Linked DNA regions of Callithrix jacchus. The protein of the gene in region 1 interacts with the protein of each later gene in a pairwise test. Links are inferred from orthologs where the notes say so. Each region holds a gene or a part of one and is shown on either strand. Other genes may lie near its edges.

Region 1 (4,141 bases):
GGTATTTTAAGTACTGTTGACTACAATATATTAATCTGAGTAACAAACAGTTCCCTGCTATTGCTGCTATTTTTTCCACCAAATTATGTCTTCAAATAAATACTGAAAGATATTTTGCACAGTTCATTTGTCACTTGCTCTATGAATCCATCTCTGGAAGAATTATTACTCCCTCTTTTGCATTCCCATGGTAGTCAGTCTCTTTTTTTTCTACCACTGTTGTTGAGTTTACCTCACTAGACTGTAATTTATGCACTTATTTAGTTCTCTCTCCCCACTGAGTATGTCCTTCTTCTAAGTGGGACCCCTGTTTTGTATCTCGAACACCTAACACAATGCCTGGCTTAGAGGTGGCTCTGGTTATTTGTCAAATGAATGGCATGCATGAATGTATTCCTGCATCCCCTTGCAAAGGACTGTGTTGAGCAGGAGCAAAGAAATTGCTCCTTTGAATTTCTAGCTCACTTATCTGATCTGTATCTCTTTGGTCACTTATTTTGTGTCCTATTTTATATATATTTGTATCTACACCTTGTCTAGTCCTACCACACTGGGAACTCCTTTAGGGTAAGATTTATGCCTGAATCACCTCTGTACCTGGAATCAAAGTGTCTAGTGCAGAAAAAGGTGCCAGGAATACGGAATAAATAAGACACCTACCTCGCAACCAGCAACATTGGCATCATTTATGCCTCCCAAACTTAAATCTGCATAAGTATTATCTTGTTAAGATGCAGATTCTGATTCAGTAGATCTGGTGTGATCCAGAGAGGCTGCATTTCCTAAAAGACCCCAGATTATGCCCAAGTAGCTACTCCACGGACCACACTTTGAGTATCAAGGTCATGGGAACAGTGGTTCTTGACCATAGCTGTATATGAGAATCATCTGGGACCATATTAAAAGTACTGATGTCTGGATCCCACCCGCAGAGAATCTGATTTAACTCATTTAAGCTCTCCAAAGTTTAAGTAGCAAAGATCTAGAGTTAATAGAGCTTTACATATGAAAAAAGGAAAACATTTAATCGAATTTCTTCTTAAGTGAATTGCTGCAAATATCTGAATAAATAACACTTTTAGAGAGAATAAATACTACACAGCATAAAATCCCCAACTCCCAAGTCAGTTTCTGTGCCAAAAGGCCCCGCCCCTGCCTTTCCCTAACTAGCCCCTCCAGTGAGGCCTTGCTCAGCCTGGCCACGCCCGTCGGCTGGCGCCCCGCCCCTCCGCGTCTATTGGCCACTCCTTTTCCCCCCCCCATTCGCATCTTTTTCCTTCTCTACGGGGTCAGCTTCCGGCGCGGAGTTTGTCACGTGCACGGATATAGGAAGTGTTGGGGGAACGGCCACTTCCCGTTCAAGGCTTTATTTAGGGGAACATCCTCGTGGCCCCCATCCGGTCTCCGTTTTGAAAGACCCGCCTCGGCAGAGCCGGGCTCAGTTCGGCCTTGCGGTAAGCCTTCGGCCACAGCTGCTCGGTAGTTCCGGCGGCGGCGGACAGACGAGCTGACAGACAGGCACCAGGGTCTAAGGCGGCTCCTCAGTCCCGCTGCTGTCTCCACGCCCGGGGTCTGACACCGCTCCCTCTGACCTTCCTTTCCCCGTTTGTCCCGGTAAGACGCAAAGTCTGGTCAGAGCATTCTCCAGCCCCTTGTCCTCGGGTCTGGGAGAATGCGGAGCTGGGAGGGCAGTCTTCATGGGCCCCATTACGGTTCCGCCTATCGGATCCAGATTTTGTTTGTGCAAAATGGCCCTGATCGTACGCTCTTTGGCGTGCCAGGAGAGGAGAGCGTGACAGTGCCTTCCCCTTTGTCCAAATCCACATTTCTCCCCGCCCCCCACATCTCTTAAGTGCATTACCCTATTTTCATGCACAGTTTTATCTTCTAGATTACAATACTTCATGCACTAATATGTCTCAGCAGCATACAGGACCCAGTGCACACGGGCACTCACACTGACCACAGTGTGGTGGTCCAACTGAGTTTAAGGAAACAACCAGTACAGAGTAAACAGTGGCCGGCTGCCTTTGGAACGTGGTCACACATGGGTTCTCAGACCTGGAAAATAATTTTAGAGGACTTCTAGGGATTTATTTACAGACTTGCTGAAAAGTACTGAAAAGACCGAAGTTAATCACTCGACTTGCAGAATGTAAATGCCATAGAAGCACGCGGCCTCAGGTCTTTATGAACATGTCTGTCATGTTGACCACTGTAACCCAGAGTAGTGTCTAGCATCTACTAAGCATCAGTATTTGCTGAATGAAGAGTCACATACTGCTTTTCATTATGCCTAACTTCTTTATGAGGTATGCTCTGTCCTCTCTTGTTTCGCCACTCACTGTACAATTCAGTTGTTGCTTTTAGCCAGAGCAGGAATATGGGTAAACGTTGGTCCGTATTAGTCATTCATTTGACTAGTTTTTACTATTCAGTTCTAATTCCCTTAAGAGATATAAGTATCCACTAAACACAAAACTATCATGAACATTCCTCCCTTCTTTCTCTTTAAGAGAATTCTTGAGATACAGAGGCTTATGATTTAATGAGCCCATTAGACAGCAAATGCTTGATTTGTTTAGCAAATGCAGTAAGTGCTGTAGAAATTTAGAGGAGAGATCAATTTGGATTATTGAATCAACTTCATGTAAACCATGGAGTGTAATTAGGGTTTGGATAGGGTGGAGAGGATATTCCTTACATGGAAAGCACCAAAGTGAAGATTTGACATCCAAAATGAACAGAGTGCTTGGGGTGGAAGGTTTGTTTTTGAGAACATTAGGAAAATGTTGAGTAAGAGCATGATGTAATACAAACTGTCTTTAAGATTATTTTGTTGTTGTTTAGGGTTGTGGGGCCATGCAGAGAGATAACCAGATTTTGTAGGGTTAAATAAAATTGATAGGAACCTGAGTTGGTATATTTACAGTGGGAAAAGAAAGGAATAAATTACATGTAGATGGGGGAAAATCAGAGTGTGATATCAGATTTCATCTTGACAACAGAAGAGGGAATCAAATATGGTGGATTTTGAACCTGGACATTTGCTTATAGGTGTGAAAGTTGGAAAGGGGGAATCTTGGAGGATCTATAGCTGTCATGTCAGTTAATTTAAACATTTACCAAATGCCTAATTTGCCAAGATCTAGGAATGCAAAGATGATTACGACATGGTACTGCTTTGAGTAGGGGATAAAATACAACTAACTAGAAAATACAATTCATAAATGCTGTTTTATTTATGATGGGAAATGTTAGAGAAGTAGAAAATATTCTCTGCGTGGGGAGGTGGCAGGGAGGGGCTACTTTACAAAAGAGATGACATTTTAGCACATTCTTGAGGGATGAATTTTAATTTCCCAGGGAGAAGAGAATTCTAAGAAAAGAAAATTGCATGAGCAAAAGCCCAGAGATAGAAAAGTAAACTGGCCAGTGTACAATGGGGCTTGGGCTTAGGAAGAAACAGAGTATCTAGGCCCTACAATATATTAAGGGATTAGCTGCATGGACACACTATAACAGACCAAAAGGAGGTTAGGATGGGTGAAGGTGTAGAGAGATGGAGAAGAAAGCAGTTGGGGATAATTGTGTTTCTATATTCTCTGCAAGGTAGGTTATTAAGTCATTTGCAGAGAGGAAGGAGGCTAATGCTAGAGTTGGGAACTGAAGAAGAATAATAGGGATTTGCAACAATAGTCCTGGGGAATAGGAAAGGATTCATCAAATGAAAGATTAATTGCTGAGCAGCACGGAAAGTCTAGCTTTCACCAGATGTAGGTATTTGTACTGCATGAAATGAGCATGGATATGTGGCTTTTTTTTTTTTTTTTTTTTAAAGTAGGAGTTTTGCTCTTGTTGCACCGGCTGTAGTGCAATGGTGCGATCTCGGGTCACTGCAACCTCCGCCTCTCAGGAGGCTGATGCTTCTGCCTCAGCGCGAGCCACCACGCCTGGCTAATTTTGTATTTTTAATAGAGAAGGGGTTTCTCCATGTTGGTCAGGCTGGTCTCGAACTCCCAACCTCAGGTGACCCACCCACCTTGGCCTCCCAAAGTGCTGGGATTACAGACGTGAGCCACTGCGCCAGGCGAATATGTGGCTTTTTAAAGTGGCGTCTGGTAATCCAAGAGAAGTGAAG
Region 2 (4,021 bases), on another chromosome or scaffold:
GCCTGGGCGACGGTGCGAGACTCCACCTCAAAAAAAAAAAAAAAATTCTGTATATAGTTTGTTTTGTTTCTGACAGATGCAAATGCACCCTTCTAATGATTAAAGACATCTTTGTTTAATCTACCAATGAAATAATCTGACAATTTATGTAACAAATAAATTCCTATAAACATAAGCTCCCCTGCCCCTCTGCGGTGGCACAATCTCTGATTTGTTATCCTGGCTGCAACCTTCATTGCTGAATAAACGCTTATGTAAACCTTAATGATGAGATTCGAGCAGTATGAATAAACATTGGGTTATTTGGGTGCAAAGATTGAGGATGGCGACCTGGTAGGACGCAGACTCCAAAAGATGGAGGTCAGTGCTTCGAAATGGAGAAGTTTGAGGGTCGTTTATATAGGCAAGGTCTGGGAAGCTTAATAGGATGTCAACATTTTCCATAGATTAACGCATAGTTAGAGCAATTTGATTGGTTTTAGGCAGTGTTTCTTTTTGGGAAGGGTCTATTTAACATTCCACATTAAGGATGTAATAGTCAAGGGGTGGTTTATCCTTTTCAAGGCGAATTTTATCTCAAATGCCATCTGGTCTGAGCTGGGAACAAGAAAGTAAGGGAGTTAATCCATAACAAAAGGTCGGCAATTAAGAGGTCGTGCTTCGTGATCCGGTCTCCAAAGTCAGCCTTCCTCAGGGACTCCCAGAATCCCCAAATAGACTATCCACTTTCTTTCACACTTATTTGCCTCTGACCTGTTGATTCCTCCTTTTTTTCTTTTTCTTTTTATTAAGGGTTGACAATCTTTTGAGTGCACGCCGACTTTCTTCCATGCGCTTTACAGAAAAAATTCTCCTGAGGCCAGCAGCCACAGTACGTCTCAGGAACTTGTTAGAAATGCAAATGTTCAGCCCCACCCCAAATCTACTGAGTCAGCAGTTTTGCAGGTGCTTCTCAATCCCTCTTTAACATGCCCTCTGGGTGATTCGGGTGCGCGTGAAAGATAGATCTCTGCGCGAGATTACCGCGCCGAGCAGGTAAAAGCGCTCTGCAAGCTCCGGTGCTATCTGCAGGCCGGGCCGCCGCTCCTCTGGGTGGCACTAGGACCGCGGCAGCCCGGCCCTCGCAGCCACCGCCTCCGGCACGAGGCGGAGCCCAGCTGTTCCTGGATCCCGGGCCTGGCTCCTCGACCCGCCCCTGGAGGCGGACCCCACTTGACTTAAACTCTGGGGCCCGGGAGGCTGTCGGTTTTCTCCCTGCTTGGCGGGGTGGTCCTCTTCCCTGGTTGGTAAGTGTGAGGCGAGCACCCCGAGGTCCCCTCTTCGCCTTCTGGGACCCGGGTGGGGCGGGGGCCGGGAGCCCGAGGCGCTCGCGGCTGGGGCCGGCCCGCGGCGCAGAGCGCTTTTGTTCTGCTGCGAGGACGCAGTCGCGGGCGGCCCCGGAAGCCGGGCCTCTGGCCCCACCGGCTCGCGTGCCCGGCGGTCCGCAGCCCGGAGCTGGGCCGGGCCGCCGCGCTCGCTTCTGCCCGCCGCGCCGGGGCCAGCCTTGGGCCTCCGCGGACGCCGAGCCTTGCACCGGAGGGCGGGCCTCGCTGGCTGTTTTCCCTCATTGCCTGGCTCTGCGCGGTAGAGGTCGCGAGTGGCGAGGGCGAAGACGCGTTTTGTTGAACTGAGAAGCGGTTGGCTAGGCGGGTGGGTGTGAGAGCTGCTTATGTTTTTAAGGCTTTCCTGTCGCTGGAGTGAAAAAGAAAATATTTGTTTTGCTATTTCCGAGCGTTCTCCTCCCCGACCCTCTTAACCCGAGGCCTCCTGGCACGGAATTGCTCTACTCGCATCTCCAAGTGGTCCGCGAACGCTTCTGTGCCGGAGATGCTTTCTGTTCCTCAGCAAGAGTTCCTTCGGGCATTTTTAAATGCACAAATGCATACCATCTTAGGTGTTCTCGAGGGATACGGATTCCCTAAGCGAACATCCTTAGGGTCCTGAGTTTGGCAGCAAACTTTCGGGGAATCATTTCCGTGAAAACAGTTTTATTTGTAGTACATCGAGTGCAGACCGTCTTAAGACAGGGATGTGTATGAGCTTGAGGCGCATTTTCATTTTGCGGGGAGGGGAGTCGGGTGCATTTCAAGGCGGGTTTCAGAGCTTGTTTGGGGATTGTCTTTTTCTGCTAAATGTGTTAGCTTTAATCATGTTTCACTGTCATGTATGTTAAGGTTTTAGTTTTTTTCCCCTCTGTGCAGTCTGATTTTTTCTGTTTAATACCAAATCCAATAAAGACAACTGCAGAGAGAAAGTGTTGTTTTGAAGCGATAATACGATAGCGGACCTAGAGGAGCGCACATAAATTCTATCTTAAGTGAACGGTATTTTCAGGCCAGAACTAATAAGAATTCAGCTCAAAAAAAGATAAATAAATAAATTAATAAAATAAAAATAAGAATTCAGTAAACTTAGCATGCTTTCAGTGCAGCCTTAAAGGAAAGTTTTGCACAGCAATGTCATATCAGTAAACACATTAGCATATACTCTTAATTATAAAACGTTTCTTGATGTCCCTAGGACCAAAGAAGTAAATACAGGGTGGAGGGAGACTGACATGTTTGGCGGGAAATGGGAACGAGCATACACAATAATTAAAGAGCAAAGTTGTGCTTAAGGGTAAGTATGTCACCTCTAAGAAACCCACCCCGATTTAACCAGGCAGTTACTCACACTTAACTGTGGAGTAGTTTTATGGGATAAAATTTTATGGAACAAAATTACTATCGGTGAATCCACATTGGTTAAAAATTAAACTGTGGGACGCAGTGGATTTGACGACAAAGCTTGAAGAAATTATGTTGTTGGCATGGTGCTGAGAAATCAGTTGTTAATCTTAGCAAAATAAGGAAGAGGTCTGTGGTAAGGTTAGCTGTGGTGGAGGTTACCCGGGCAGAGGTCTGCTTCTGTTTGTGCTGTGTTTCTTAATTTGATTGTTCTTATTTATTACTGTTTGTGGCACATAGGGGAATGTGGCTCAGAGCACCACTCTGGAAGGATGCTTCGGTACAGCCAAAGTGGTCATGTTCCGGGCTTTCATCCTGTAACCACAAAATGTGTTAGGAAGTCTCACCTCATGACTTAAGACCATGGTCCCTGTAACACTGCTTTGGTTCAGATCTTGGCTCTAGCACTCAGCGCCCAGTATCTGTACAATCTTGGGAAAATAAACGTTTGTTTTCTCATCTATAAAATGGGGGCAAGCACTCCTGTCATGGGATTATTGTGGTAGAGTTACATGAGTTTCATGCATATCACACTTAAACAGCTTCTGACACATGTTAAGTGCCCAATAAATGTTAGCTATTGTCATGTGAGAGGAAATAGGTTTTGTGGCCTGGGACATGTAACACTGGCTTAGCACACATTCAGTTGGTTCATTTAAGCCCTAAATTCGTGAGCTTTCTGTTATTAAGCCCATCAGTGTAGATCCTCTTAGATTCTCTTTTTTGTAGGTCCTGTTTTTTTAGGAAGTACTGTCACTACTGGTCCACTTCTGGATTTACATGCAGGCTTGTTTGAAATAAAAAATGCCTCCATGGCTGGGCATAGGTGGCTCATGCCTATAATCCCAGCACTTTGGGAGGCCGAGGCGGGTGGATCACGAGGTCAAGGGATCGAGACCATCCTGGTCAACATGGTGAAACCCTGTCTCTACTAAAAACACAAAAATTAGCTGGGCATGGTGGCACACACCTGTAGTCCCAGCTACTCAGGAGGCTGAGGCAGGAGAATTGCTTGAACCCAGGAGGCGGAGGTTGCGGTGAGCCAAGATCGCGCCATTGCACTCCAGTCTGGATAACAGCGAAACTCTGTCTCAAAAAAAAAAAAATGCGTCCACTGAATTCCTAGGCAGGGCAAACTTGGCCCGAAGCTTCATTCTTAAACATTATCTCTGTGATTGTACTGGAATCTCTCTTCATTTCTAGATGATCAGTGTTTTGGACATAGTTGGAGCTCGAATGCTTAGGGAATTGATTTA

The links.
Region 2: the proteins of EXOC1 (region 1) and RESF1 interact in a two-hybrid assay, tested with the Homo sapiens proteins (2 studies listed by BioGRID and IntAct). The link is inferred for Callithrix jacchus from reciprocal best matches to the Homo sapiens genes EXOC1 and RESF1.

The regions. Positions count from the first base shown.
Region 1 is NC_133504.1:140,906,476-140,910,616, reverse strand, and holds the start of EXOC1 (exocyst complex component 1), read left to right. Parts: upstream 1-1,334; 5' UTR 1,335-1,454; exon of another isoform or gene 1,455-1,614; intron 1,615-4,141.
Region 2 is NC_133510.1:39,568,017-39,572,037, reverse strand, and holds the start of RESF1 (retroelement silencing factor 1), read left to right. Parts: upstream 1-1,210; 5' UTR 1,211-1,286; intron 1,287-2,559; exon of another isoform or gene 2,560-2,658; intron 2,659-4,021. UniProt on the Homo sapiens protein: Plays a role in the regulation of imprinted gene expression, regulates repressive epigenetic modifications associated with SETDB1.